Tribolium castaneum: one gene and its partner. The protein of the gene in region 2 purifies or fractionates together with the protein of the main gene of each other region. This does not show direct contact. Links are inferred from orthologs where the notes say so. Each region holds a gene or a part of one and is shown on either strand. Other genes may lie near its edges.

Region 1 (7,706 bases), on a different chromosome or scaffold from region 2:
TTTCGAATTCTCTGTGGTTGTATTTTGACTATTTTCATAATTTAAAACAGGTTCAAAGGTACAAATGCTTTTTTAATAATAGGTCTTTATTTTTATCTCTTATATTTAAGTGAATGCTAGCATTAACTTTTAAATTGTTTTTTGTAAGTAAATGAGTTTGTGAGATATAGAAAAAAATTTACTTTTAGCAGCCAAATATTTTTTTTTTAATTTATAAATATTTTTTTCCTAAACAGTAGTCAGAATAATAATGAGGAGAATAAGGCTGAAAAAATAATTCAGACATACCAATACCAAAAATGCTTCATTTCTGTTTTAAATGTTGAAAGGAACAGTTCCATTTTAGATTTTTACAACAAATAAATCGTAAATCAAAATTTTTCCCAGCAAGATTTTTTCGGAGTTTTTAAGGAAAATATTTTCCTGAATGCTCTTAATACCACAAAAACATGATAACGTTATTGTTCTTTTCTTTTGTTTATTTACACTTATCTAATGACTGATGATTCACCTATTTATAGAATAATTCAATGGACTACATGCGCGTAATTCTGTAATCTTCATTTGTGTATAAATTACTGTATAGTGTCTCATTACCGTAATTTTCTAGATAAGACTTTAGTTCGTAGTTCCTCATGCCGCTACAAAGCTGATAAACACTATTCTAATGAATATAAAATTGTAAAATTCGTTTTTTCTTTATTCTAAGTCTCCTACAATAATATACCAAACTGGAGTATTTTGTAAATCGTTATTACATCACTTGTTCTCAAAAATTATGGCTCAAAACTTTTCGTTTGTTGTTTACCTACACTTATCTCTCTGATACGAGCAATAATTTAACTTATTTGTCGTTAACCCACCTCAAACCAATTTATTCTCGATTTTTTATTTAATAATAAGAAATGTTGGGCGAAATAATTTATTTTATTTGAAAGACATTTAAACCCACTGTAAGTGTGGAAATCACACCGTGGGAGTAATTTTCGCGCTATATCTCGGCTTAAAAATTGCAATGTAAACGTGTAGAGACCGTAAAAACGATTTGTATATCGTATAGGTAATATGTACACCATGTGTTTAGATATCTCTTTAACGATAAGGTGATATCAACAACACAATTATGCATAGCAGTTCGATGCACTTAATTTTCATTACCATGAAAAATAAAAAAGGTACAAGCCGTTACAATTAAATAACATTTGCGTTTTATTTGCGTAAGCATATTATTTTTTATGGAAGGAAAATTAAAATTGGTGTAACGGCCACTTATTCCACAACAATTCTCATCAATATTTCTTGAATTAGCTGTTATCGAAAAATAACGCTTTGTGAACAATTTCGTGTTTGTGTGTTTGGTTGTAATAAACTAATAAAGCACTGACAAGTGTCATCAACTCATCACACCGCCAAGGTCTTTGGCGTGGAATGGTTACGATCACTAAGAAAAAATTTAAAAAACTGCCCTTGAGAATAATTTTGATTCAGATGCGTTCCTTTTAATTTTTTCTATTAGAGGGTTCTAGGAACCACTGTGGTGATTGTGTCGATTCAAATAGCAATCCCAACAATAGAATAATCGTCTTTGAGTAAACCACATCTCTTTGTTAGACAAGTAGTTCTTTTCTTATTTGATTGTAAAAAGACACAAATTGACCTTCAAAATTTATTCGGCACTATAATTACATTTTATTTTTCTCAAATTCTAGGCACAATGATACCGAAATCGGGGGGCGACTACGCCTACATCAGCGAGGCTTTCGGGCCGTTGCCCGCCTTCCTCTACCTCTGGGTGGCCCTTTTCATCCTGGTCCCGACCGGAAACGCCATCACGGCCATAACCTTCGCCCAGTACATCCTCCAACCGCTTTGGGGCGCCTGTAACCCTCCGTACGAAGCCGTGCGATTACTGGCAGCCGCTGCCGTTTGTCTACTAACTCTGATTAATTGCTACAACGTCAAGTGGGTGACACGGGTCCAAGACATCTTCACCGCCACCAAAATCTTCGCCCTGTGCATTATCGTGGCAGCTGGAGCGTACTACTTATGCATTGGTCACGTCGAGCATTTCAGGGACCCCATGGAAGGGACCAACTGGCAGCCCGGGTACATTGCCTTGGCCTTTTATTCCGGCCTGTTCTCCTACTCGGGCTGGAATTACCTCAACTATGTTACCGAAGAACTGAAAGATCCCTACAAGTGGGTTTTATTATCCCTAACACAGCTATGTTTATTATCATTGTTTTTGTTCCAGGAACCTTCCTCGCGCAATTTGTATATCGATGCCAGTGGTCACCGTCATTTACGTTGTGACAAACCTTGCGTACTTTGTTGTCTTGAGCAGGGATGATATTCTGGCGTCAGATGCAGTTGCTGTTACTTTTGGTGATAAGTTACTGGGCGCGTTTTCGTTTTTCATTCCGTTTTTCGTGGCTTGTTCCACGTTTGGTTCGTTAAACGGTGCTATTTTTGCATCGTCACGCCTTTTCTTCGTGGGGGCTCGTGCTGGACACTTGCCACGAGCTATCGCACTCATTGATGTGAAAAGACTGACCCCTGTACCATCTCTAATTTTTATGGTAACCATAATTCCGTAATAAAACACTAATTTTACATTAATTGTATTTACAGTGCATCATTACGCTAGCCCTTGTAATGATTGAAGATGTGTACGTTCTTATTAACTACGTTTCGTTCGTTGAGGCCCTTTTTATCACGATAAGTGTGACGGGGCTGCTGTATATGAGGTGGAAGAGGCCCGATATGCACCGGCCGATTAAAATCAGTTTTATTCTTCCTGTAATATTTTTGTTAATTTGTGGCTTCCTTGTCATTTTTCCCTGTTATGTTAGTCCCCTGGAGGTAGGGGTAGGTTTAGGTTTCATTTTTTGCGGAATTCCTGTTTATTTAGTTACGATCGCTTGGAAGAATAAACCAGATTGGTTGAATAAAATTTTCAACGAGTTTAACAACGGCTGCGCCAAACTCTTCCTGTGTGTTACGGAATACGAAGACAAGGAGTCCTAAAGTTAGACATATGATATGTAAAAATGATCTAAATAGTATTAATTGTTTTCGAATGCTTTGACACAAGAAATATTTATTTGTATATTACTATTCATTAAACATGTTTTGTAAGATGTTTTTTTCCATAAATTAAATTCAAAAAAAGGACAGTTCCTCCAACCACACCGCGATAAAATCCCAATTGAACTAACCTAAATCGATGGTGGCGCTCTCAATGAGACAACTTTTATCAAAATTAAATAGAATCCTCTCGTAATCATCGACAATTTTTCCGTTTATTAAACTAGTTCAAAAATTCGGGTTCGGGAAGTCCTTTTCCGCCCCGTATTAATTTTTCCCAGTTTTTAACGTGACAGTTGACTTGTGCGCACTCTATGGTCATTCGTCAGTTGGTGTGATTTGTGGTGTTTTAGGATAAGCCCAACCCAAAAATTCTAGGAATATAAAAATAAAGGTTTATTGTACATTTATAGGACGTTCAAGCTGAATAGGTAATCCCCCTAATCTCGTTTTTACTAGCGTTAAAATAGCTTAGTGGTATCAACTGGTTGAAAAAATGACGCCAACAACTCAAAATGGCAGATCATTATGATTGATATCCTTATTCCTGGAACAATTCGGGCGTTTGTGTTAATTTGCTGCTTTTTGAACGCCGCTCGTGACTTAAAACCGTTCCTAGCCTCGTGGAGAGCGAAGGAACGCCATTGTCAATTCTCGGAAGTGTTCCGTGTCCTAATAATTAATTGTTGTTACAGCAAGGACGAAGAATGCAAACAATTAAATGTGTGGTGGTGGGTGACGGCGCAGTGGGTAAAACCTGCCTCCTGATAAGGTAACAGCTCCTGTTTGGTCTGTTTGAGGTGGTAATGGTTTGTTTCAGTTACACTACTAACAAATTCCCATCGGAATATGTGCCCACAGTCTTTGATAACTATGCGGTCACTGTCATGATAGGGGGCGAGCCCTACACATTGGGGCTGTTCGATACTGCAGGACAAGAAGATTACGATCGATTGCGACCTCTTAGTTATCCCCAGACTGACGTTTTCTTAGTGTGCTTTTCTGTAGTGAGTCCGTCCTCGTTTGAAAATGTTAAGGAAAAAGTAAGTCACTTGAGTATGAGCCTCTTGTAACTCAATCGAAGTCCCACGTGTTTCTGCCAGAGCCGGTTCTAAAGCACGTGCTTTTTAGAACTTAAATAAACCGGAAAAATATCCGTACTTTCAATCTAAAGTATGACAAACATATCACTGTATAAATCATAACTAAATAAATAAAAACAAGCGAACAGTAGTGAACAAATAGAATATAAAAAAACAAGTTTGTTAAGACAAGTTTTAAGGCAATTTTTGTAAAGCCCTGGGCTATTTTAAAAAATGTGTGCTACCATATAACTATAGGTCGTTATCCAACGAGCGTATGCGAGTGCATAGACACCCGAGAAAAAGGTAAAGTAAATTGTAAACAAAATTTGATGAAACAATCTCGTTTTGTTAACTGGAGAACCACTTCCTCTAACAACCACAAAGATAAGTTTAAATGGCTTTTTTCTCACACGTTTTTTCCACGATTCTCATTTTGCTATTTAAATTATCATCGTATCATTAGTTAAATATATGTTTTTGAAGTTATTTTTTTAATTAATAAACTGGGAAGTATTGGAGCACTGATGCTCGTTAGTTTTTCCAACGATGTTAAGAAATGCTCGCTTTGCTTTCAGTGGGTCCCCGAAATAACTCATCATTGTCAGAAGACGCCGTTCCTGTTAGTCGGAACGCAGGTCGATTTACGCGATGATGGTGCTACGATTGAAAAGTTGGCGAAAAACAAACAGAAGCCGATATCAGTGGAACAGGGAGAAAAGTTAGCTAAAGAATTAAAAGCGGTCAAATATGTCGAGTGTTCGGCTTTAACGCAAAAAGGTCTGAAAAATGTTTTCGATGAAGCTATTCTAGCCGCGTTGGAACCACCAGAACCAATTAAACGTAAAAAGTGTGTTATTTTGTAATCAGTAATTCAACCCGATTGGAATACTACAATTTTTATACTAGTTAAGGACAAAATTATATATTTATTTTATTTTTTTTTTGTTAACAGTTTAAATATTAAAAACAATTGTATGGTATATAACTTCTTCCATTTATTGAAGCTCAAACGACACTCGAGATCATTACTTCTTCTTATGTAAAGGCTTTTAGGAACAAGTCAGTATTACATCCAAATGGCTTCAAGGACTGCGAATTTACCACTTTCGTAACTTTTGTGTTTTTCTAACATTTTGTTATGTTCTTTCGGCAATAATTTGCATAACGTAAATAAATCATTTATTATATAAGACTGTTGTTTGGCTGAGAAACCTACCACCAGATTTTAATAAAACTAGTTTATTCAATTAATTAAGACTCACATGGTCGACATATACATAATAACAGACGTAAATTAAATATGTATGTGTGTGCACAAACGGATATATAGTGCGATTCCAAAGGGGCGTTTGAATTTACATTAGCCAATAAGGGCCGTTTACTGTCACCGACCCATAAAATATTAAAATTTCCGTAATAAATAACCGAAGAATAAAATTGACTATCAGCCGACCCCGAATCGTTAAACCGCACTATACATTTTTACGAACAGTTATTTAAAAAACCGTTTACTGAAGGCTGGGACTGTCGGTGCCACTGCCACTGTTGTTCGAATTTTCGGCCGCTGAAGCGCTAACAAACTTATTTTTCTTGGCGCTTTTCGACAAACTCGCCACCTCCTTCAAGAGACTGGTGATGCGCTTATTCAGCGCCTCAATCTTGTCGTCGCATTCCTTCTGGCAATTTTTCATCTTGGTTCTCAGTTCGGATTCCGTAGTGAAGTGCTTCGCCTTCAGTTCGGTTATCTAAAATCACACTACAGAAACAAGCCCCCACAAAATACGACCCCAAACCATTTTATCTTTATTCAGTAACTGAGTATCTTTCAAACTGAGCTGTTTTTGCAACGTGGCGATTTTTTCCTTCAACTGAGTCATTGCGACCACGTGGTCGGAACTGTTGGGGTCAAGTTCGGCCCGAATCAAGCCGGGGCTAGCGTTGTTGCGCGACACCTTCGTGGGTATGCCGTTGTCGTTGTCCAGTGCTGGGAGCTTTGTTACGTCGACGCGATGCGGCCGCTTGTTGTGACCGCGTAATCTGGGGGAAAAATTTATTTCGCGAATTTGCAACTCGAAGGCTTACTTTCCCTCCTTGTGCTTGGATTTGTGTAATTGTGATATTTTCATGTGGGCTCGCCTTTCGGCGTCGCCTTGCTTTGTTTTGGCTAGCGCTCGCTTGAAAGATAACGTGCACAGCCAACACAGAAGCTTTCCGTCGACCTAGGAAACACAATACCCAGTTTAATCTGAATTTTTTCAATTCGAAAATATACCTTTTTATCGTCGTCGTGGCGGTCGAACGCGCACTTCTGCTTGCACTGTTCGCAGTTGACTGGGGGTCCATACTTAATCTCGGAGTTAGTACATCTTTGACACTTATTTCCTATGAAAGCAGCGATAATATTGCAGTATTCGCAAGCGGTGGGCTTTCCATATGCCTTAACGTTCTGTTCACACTTTTTACAAATTGTGCTAGTGCTTCCCTTGGAAGTCTGTTGGAATTCCGAGCGGCAGTAGGTGCACTTCACGACAGGAAATGCCCCTCGACACTCCTAAAGGGGGAAAATGCCCACAATCAAATGACTTGACCCTCCAAACTGACTTACTTTACACAGTTGTTGTCCCGCGGACAACTCCTCGAACGGATGTCGGGAGAAACAACGAGAACAGGCAAACAATGGTGCACTCATTGTTGTGGTGGAAACCTAAAACACCTAGAGACAACGCGTTTCTGGTTGTTAGGAGTGGGTTACTTCAGGTTGTTACTAACCTTCCCATCAATGAGGTAACCCGATAAGATGACCCTTTGTTGGTTTCTTGGGCCTAATAACTGCGACTAGACAAAAATAATTCGGTTGATATCAAGTACATGTAAATGATTGACAAGTACAAACTCCACAAACATACCTTGGACAGGTTATTAACATTATTTCATTTTATTTGCGTTTGCCGCTTATTTAAGGAGAGAATCGGCTCGTAATCACAATTTCTATCACTGCACTTTGCACAAAAATACGAACAATACGCAAAAAATGGAAAATAATTTGCTACAAATGCCTGTCTGTGCTGCCACCCGTCCAATTCGAAGAAAATTTCTAGTGGCACCTGGTGAAATGTGTCGGTACCAGCAACAAGGCGCTACATTTGAATACAACTTTTGGTTTTGGTCGTTGTATGGTTTCTTCTGCACTACTTTGTAAATGATTGGTGATACTTTGTGGCTAAACACAAAAAAAGGAAATTAATTTGACACTCACAATCGTAATATGACGATTGTAAGGCAATGAACTATCTAAAAATTAACAAATAGGGAGAAAAAATCAAATAAAATTGCCCGGCTGTTATTTAAAAAAAAATGTCCACTGCTCTACTGAATTAAATCACCACTTACGTGGCAACAATTACAAATACGTTTTGTTACTAAGATCTCTGTACGAAAAAAACAGTGGCGTCCATTATTATTATTTTTAGTTGCACCAGAAAAATTTGTAGCAATTCTTTAATACGCTTTCAGTTTTTCGGGGCCGGTTTATAG
Region 2 (7,390 bases):
GTTTTTTAATATTTTTTTGTATAGGTCTTGTATATGACTTACATGTAATACTATATTTTTTCATACTACTTGAACTTTTTAAATCAAGATAAGAACTGATCTGTGAGGTAATAAGTAAACCTAGGAACATCATCCAATTGTAAAAAAAACGGTTTTGTGTATTATTTTACTCACCAACGTGTACACAAATTACAAATATTTAAAACGTCATAAGTGTATTTTACTCTTTGAAAAAATTATCTGCTCTGTAGCATATAAAGAACGACATTCTTTAATCCGCTATGGTAGTAATTGTTCCATAAAGTGATTAATTTTAATGAAAAACGCTTAATTTCTTTAAAACTTTATAACACTTTTCCTCAAAAATGGTTGACAATATTTAGTCAGGAGTGATCTCATTATTTGACCATTGTAAAACTTCACTCCGCCTCTGAGCCACTATATTTATAAATCAAGTATTTTTTGCATATTTACATAAAAAAGAAATTGTAACTATGCAACCAACATTACAACAACATCAGATGGCCGATGTTGATTTATAACGCCAGGTAGCTAGCTATTCTGAGACATGAAATCCTGAAAATATTTAGTGCTGTGACTTTATAAAAAGGGGCTGATAACTTCAGTTACAAAAATGCAAACAAATACTTTCACATTTTCAGGGGGATTTGTTCGATTACTGAACAATATTAGATTAGTATTACATAATAATAAATTAAGATAGTTTTTAATAATTTTGATATTAAAGAAAAAACATCAGTAAACACTAATTCACAATGAAACTGTTGCTTCAGATTTTTTTTTTTGAGTTTTTGAAATCCAAGAAAGTCCAAGAGTATACTCGTATTTTCAACCTGTTCCAAACCGAAATGCAATTTTTGTATCATTTATTCAGTCTTAGTTATTCCACCAAAAAGCAAACGAAAGTGTTTGTTATCTTTGTAAAATCGCTTCTCAAACTCGGGCTGAGTTAAATTTGGATGTCAGATTTGAAAATTAAGTTCCAATAGTGTGTAGAATCAACATTTTAAATTTTCGGCAACAGTCGAAAAGTTAAATTTTGTAAACGAATAATATACCGGGTGCTCAAAAACCGGCGCACCAACTCAATGGAGTGTGGTAAAGAATTGCTTACATATAAAGGTAAAAATAGTAAAAAAATTCTTTGCATTAAAGTTATTCACAAATAACGAAATTTAAATATGTGGCACGTTGTCTAACAGTCATAATCGCAATAGAATTTGAGCAACAATAAAAATAAATTATTTTTGAAACGGTTTCCTAGGAAATAATTCCCAGTGTTGGCACATCTACACATTCTGATTTTTTGGATGAATTTTAATTTTTTTAAATTAAAAAAACTGCCAAAGTCTGATGGGAAATTTAAAAATAGTTATTCATCGTTGTGTTAGGGAACGATTGCTTAGTGTGAAACATAAAAGCATTAAAAAATAATGAAAACTGAAGAAGTTAATAAAATAAGTTTGTAGCTCCAGATTCTTTAAAATATGACTAGGAATTTTTTCAAGATTTTTCCCGTGATCTACACATGCTTCTCAACAACGTACCACTGAGTTGGTGCGCCAGTTTTTGAGCACCCTGTAGAAAGTGGATCCCATTCCAGATATAAAATCGGCTTTTCAGAAGATAATTATCACGTTATCTTGAAGGGTTTAAGAAACCTTTCATACATTCCTAAATTATTAGCAGTAACATAGGCGATTAGAGATTAGAAAATAAAGAATACAAATTCCTGAGAGGGTCTCCTTCTAAGAAATTTGAACTGAGATTTTTTCTAAGATTTTTTCAACGCGTCGCATATTTACAATTGTTGTTTAGGAACAACAACTAGAATAAGATATTAGTTGTTTCGAAACTACAAAAACGCCAACGTCGCATTTTTTCTTAAAATTAGCTGTTATAAATTATTGGTTTAGAGAAAAATCTTTTACAATGACTAGTAGCAATTTTGGAAAAATCTGCAAGATAATAATTAAATCATTGCTCAATGGTGAGCTCATTTTGACTATTTCCACAGAAAATTTTAATCAATGACAGAAAACACAGCAAAGAACAAAATAAGCAATTATTTACACATATGCATCAAATAAATAATTTTTAAAATTAAAAAATTTGAGCTATTAGTTATTATTATTAAAATGCATTTATTCATCTAAGTTACAACTAATATTTGAATAATAATAGTTATTATGTAATCGCATGATAAAATATCATAGTTTTCTAACAGCTTTAGTAAAAATATTCATATATTTCGTTTAAAAAATACAAAATGAAAAAAATTAAAGACTTGAGTTTTCAACATATTAAAAGTCAGTTACAAATATCTAAAATTGAAATGAAAATTACTTTAAGAGTAACACATTAAAATAAAATTCGCTAAACAAGTAAAAACTTAGCATAAAAAATGCTTTATTATTTTATCCCATACACATAGTGTTACGCAGTTAAATTTAAAAGCAAACATGTATGGGAAATTTCTATGCAATTTTATTACTTGTTATTGTTATTTTTTAAAAATGTCATAGAAGTTTTTTTTTTCACAAGTTAATATTTTCTAGTGTATTTTCAGCCTTAGTGAAGATAAACAGACAGAATTGATTATGAAGAAGTTAGTTAAAACTGTAAGAACCCAAAAAATTCAACACTATTTACATTAAATCAAGCACCATGAGACAAATTAATAATAGTACAATGCAAGTTACTCATCAAATCTATATATTAATAAAAAAAAATCATCTTAACAAGATTTGTCTTATAACAAATAACAAACATGAAATAGGCCCCATTTTGAGTTCTAATGGCTTAATTATCGTAACTGATTGAGCGATTTTTTTTGTTAATTTCCTAAAGTGAAGTTCTCGTTAAAATATATACAAAATGACGTGAAATTGTATATGACATGCTTGGAATAAACATTTCATTGTGTGCAATTCTATTATCATTTTTCATCATCAAGATATATTTATAGAAAAATAAGTCGTAGATATTAAGATACTTTGTTTTGCAAATATTGTGAAACAAACATTTATTTTCATTGCAGGAGCAACACTTTTTACTTTTAACAACAACCAAAGTTCTTGCTACAAAAGGAAAATCAAATATCACAGATTTGATCGATTTATCATTGCAAAGTTGCATTATAAACAAGTTCTCGTAAAAAAAAGCAAAAGCAATAACAAAAGTTGCGTGTTACATATTGTAAAGTAGTGCATCCCTCGGCTTAGCCTCGGACGCATTATTTGTAGCTCGAATATAACTTGCAAATTTTGCGCAATACAACGTGAATTTGCCAAGATTTAAAAATTTCTGGGTTTAATTTCGTAAAATAAATGCAGAAAAGCTGAAGCATATTATCTTATATACAGATTATTAACCAACACCCACCCATGATTAAGCTGAGGCGTGCCCGGTGCGGACTGCTTATTATGATTGATAGTAGGGTTAGTGACGCTACTGTCACTTGCAGACCTGCTGAGTGATTCCTCTTCGGCAGCACTTCCTCCCGAATTTCGGTGATGTCTCGACCCATTCACCAATCGAGGCGAATTCGTCAAAGAGTTATTCTGACCCGATTGGATTCCCTTGATAGCATCATCCAGATAACTCTGATACCTCTTCAATTCGCCTTGGAGCTTATCCAGTCTGTGGCTGCACTCATTGAGCTGACCTGAATCGAATTATTTTGCTTAGATAGTTATTTTAACATTGTTATTTAAACGAAAATCGCTATGTTAGAACATCTATCAGACTTCTTCAACTTACTGGGATAATAATTGTCTCAGGGCTGTCAGGAGTTCCTGAATTAGATAGAAGTGATGTGTTCAGAAGAAGAACGCGAATTTTCAGCAGATGTACTATACTTCCCAGTAATAGTAGTGTATTAGCTGTTTCAAAACTATAAAAACGCCAACGTCGCATTTTCTCTCAAAATTAGCTATTATAAATTATTCATTCACATCAAAAAAATAATATCTAATGTAATTTGCACTTTCAATCAGAGATCTAACCGTTAACAACTATTTTACAATTTCATCAATCTTGTTAAAGAAAATAATGCGACGTTGACGTTTTTAAATTATAGTTTTGAAACAGCATATACAAGGTGTCTTACCTAAGACTTTCGATCCTGATATCTCAGATATTTGTCAACGGATTTTTATGAAATTTAAAATACAGATATTTTAGAAGATAAATATTAAAATCAAATTAATGCAACAACTCGAGTCTTAAAAACGTAATTTTTACATGCCTTTTTAAAATGTTAAGCCTTTTAAGACTTATATTAAAAAAATTATCGTCAGTGAAAAATCCTGTCAGAAAAAACTCGTTCGTGGAAGACGTCTGTTACGCGAGAAAAATGAGAAACAAACTGTTAAACGTGGGTACAGATGCAAAATCGTAGATCTCTATGAGACAAATGAGCACTACCATTGAATTTTGGTCAATCCTACTCGCAGAAACGTAACTGTCACGCAAGGGACATTTCACAATTACCTCTCGCCCATACAAAGTTAAAAAACAATATTTTTGACTTACTTTTGGTACTGGATGCTTTAATTCTTTCAAAAAGAACTAAAAGACTGAACAACAACTGAAAAATTCTAGACACTTGAACATTCAGGACTTTGGAAATGTTTCGTACACTGCTGATTGTATTCTCTTTAAAAGCTTGAGTTACAGCCCCAACTATTGCTTCGTTTCCAGTGACGTGTTTTGTCCTCACTCGAGGACTCTAGTTTAAGTACGCTTCTTGTGTCTTCAAATTATTGACGATTCTTTGAACTTTAAATTTCATACATAACATTTCACAAAAAGTCCAACGACACTTTCCATAGCGAACATTGATTCCTTTTTCAACAACACAGAAATTTCAGCCACTGTTGTTGGTTTTTAAAATAATTTCACCAAATTAAAACAATTTTACTTTTCTGACAGCGCATACTTTTGATAGTTTTTTTCAGTGGTACACAAAATGCCGCATAGAAATGCTTCATAAATTGTTTCAAAAGGTGACTGTCCAAATTACTATCAAAATTTGGATTAAGTTTTCAACAACAAAATTTAATTTTTTTCTTGGATCAGGCGAGCGATTTGGTTAATTTTTTGTGTGGACATTTATTTTTCGGGTTTTAATGATCCAACGGTAATTTGGCTTAATTTTAAATAAAAGAAATGTGTTTTAAAATTTCATTTTTTAACTTGAAGTCATTTTTTGCCCCTAATTGAAAGACCACCTCCTAAAATATGTGCATTCTAAATTTTATAACAATCCGTTAACAAATAACTGAAATATTAAGCTCGAAAGTTTTAGCTGAGACACTCTATATAACATTAGTACATATAAAAATTTATTATTATTATTATTGTTATTATTATTATTATTATTAAACAATGTGATTGAGACTTCTGATTTTTTTTTTAAATAAAACATCTTATCGTTTTTTATTTCATTTTTTATTGTGATATAACTGCAAGAGTGTTGGACTTGATGGCAAATTTTTAAAGTTCTGCGATAGATGGTGACAAATCGTTATGTTATCTGTGCATTGAAAGCCTAACGTTATTTTAGCGATTGAAGCAATAACGTCCTCGTTATTATTCGATCAATAATGTTAATCAGATACAAAATTGCCTCTATAACAAAAATCGTTATTATTTCGATGATATCTTTATAAGTTACAAAAAAGCCCGTCATTAATAAATTGCAATGATTGCCTTCGGATTACCAAATACTGTAAGTGTATACAGGATGGTCCAGCACAGCTCTCATCTTCTGTAGCTCAGTTATTACTGTTATTAGTAAAGTTGTATTTCTAATATTTTGTAGACATTATTTATACTCTGAGACGTATTTTAGAAAAATACTCGATTGTACAGAGTGTCCCAAAAAAGTATTATGTCAAAATAATAAATATTTTTAATAGCTTCTTAGCTTGTTATTAGCTGTTTCCAAACTATAAAAACACGTTGCATTTTCTCTCTAAATTAGCTGTTATAAATCATTCATGCACTTCAAAAAAATAATATCTAATGTAATTTACACTTTCAATCAGAGATCTAACCGTTAATAACTATTTTACAATTTCATCAATTTTATTAAAGAAAATAATTTGGTTAATTGCGACGTTGGCGTTTTTATAGTTTTGAAATAACTAAGTTTTTTCTTCTAGCTAAGTCCCTTAAGTATTTTTTTCAAAACAAAAAATAAAAACCAAAAAAAATCGGTTTCATACGTAACACCTCTAGTTTTAAAAATTAATAAAAAGTAGAAACAGTCCTTTTTTGATGACTTTATTACTAGGTTCATGTTAAATAAAGACAACGCCTGTTTACTTTTATACCACTTTTTATACTATTCGATGGGGAATTAGAAAACAAACGTTTTTCAAATTACCACCCTAACAAACTCCCAACACAATTCGACATATTTGTAATAGGGTTGTGATAACAAAAAATGTTTTGAATCTACAACGAAAGATTTCTTTTATTTATTAAATTTGTCAGTAAAATAGTTGACAAAACAAGTTTTTAACAAATAACTCTGAATGAGTCAAAAATTGTAATAAGAAAAAATTTTCCTTTTTTAATTCTGCATCGAATGATATAAAAATGAACAGAGGTTGCCATTTGAAATAGGCAAAATAAAAAACTCTGAAATTAAAAAAAAGGAAATAAATTGTAAACACCCTGTAATAATTCTTATCAATCAATCTTAATTAATAAATCGGTTAACACGTACGTACTTATAATTTATAAAAAAGCACAGTTTCTACTTTTTATTAAATCTTGAAATTAAAGGAGTAAAACCGATTTTTTTGGTTTTTGTTATTTTTTATTAACACAAATCTTTTAACTGATTTAAAAAAAACTTTACAGACATGTAAGTAGCTAGAAAGGCATCCTAATGAGCACTAAAAAATTATAGCATGTTATTATAATAGTTATGTAACAAGTCCGCAAAATAGAATTATAGCGGACGAATCGAATTAAGGAGGAGGCTACAAAGGAGCCGAGTTCTTAATGAGATAAGTCTGCTAAAACTATTTTGCAGAAGTGTTGCATACAAAGTAACCATTTTAGGAAGCGTGTACCAAAAAAAAAATATTATTACGTCATACTTTTTTTGAGACACCGTATAATCAAAAATATAAAAAGAAAATTCTTGAAATGTGTCCTAAAGTTTAAATGATATCTAGAAAATACAAAAACTCCAAATTTGCAAATAATTGAGCTGCAGAAGACGGGAGCTGGGATGGACCAGCCTGTATAGCGTTTTAAAAAAAATACATGGTGTCTGTTTTTCGAGCTCCACCATGGAGATGATCTCAGTTATTATAAGAGACACAAATTTGGTTAAATTAGGACAAAG

Evidence for each region.
Region 1: the proteins of Cip4 (region 2) and cdc42 homolog purify together in Drosophila melanogaster (affinity purification with western blotting; 4 studies listed by BioGRID). This does not show direct contact. The link is inferred for Tribolium castaneum from reciprocal best matches to the Drosophila melanogaster genes Cip4 and Cdc42.

Annotation. Positions count from the first base shown.
Region 1 is NC_087398.1:3,191,760-3,199,465, forward strand, and holds cdc42 homolog, read left to right. Parts: upstream 1-3,226; 5' UTR 3,227-3,518; intron 3,519-3,782; 5' UTR 3,783-3,794; coding exon 3,795-3,859; intron 3,860-3,907; coding exon 3,908-4,130; intron 4,131-4,747; coding exon 4,748-5,035; 3' UTR 5,036-5,362; downstream 5,363-7,706. Other genes in the region: mnd (Y+L amino acid transporter 2), read left to right, coding at 1,710-2,199, 2,255-2,579, 2,632-3,027; protein FAM76A, read right to left, coding at 5,681-5,917, 5,966-6,209, 6,255-6,391, 6,445-6,723, 6,778-6,861. UniProt on the Drosophila melanogaster protein: Regulates mbt kinase activity and is also required to recruit mbt to adherens junctions. Together with mbt and Frl, regulates photoreceptor cell morphogenesis. Together with Frl, has a role in the neuronal development of mushroom bodies.
Region 2 is NC_087400.1:8,759,105-8,766,494, reverse strand, and holds part of Cip4 (cdc42-interacting protein 4 homolog), read right to left. Parts: intron 3,689-7,390; coding exon 3,406-3,688; intron 1-3,405.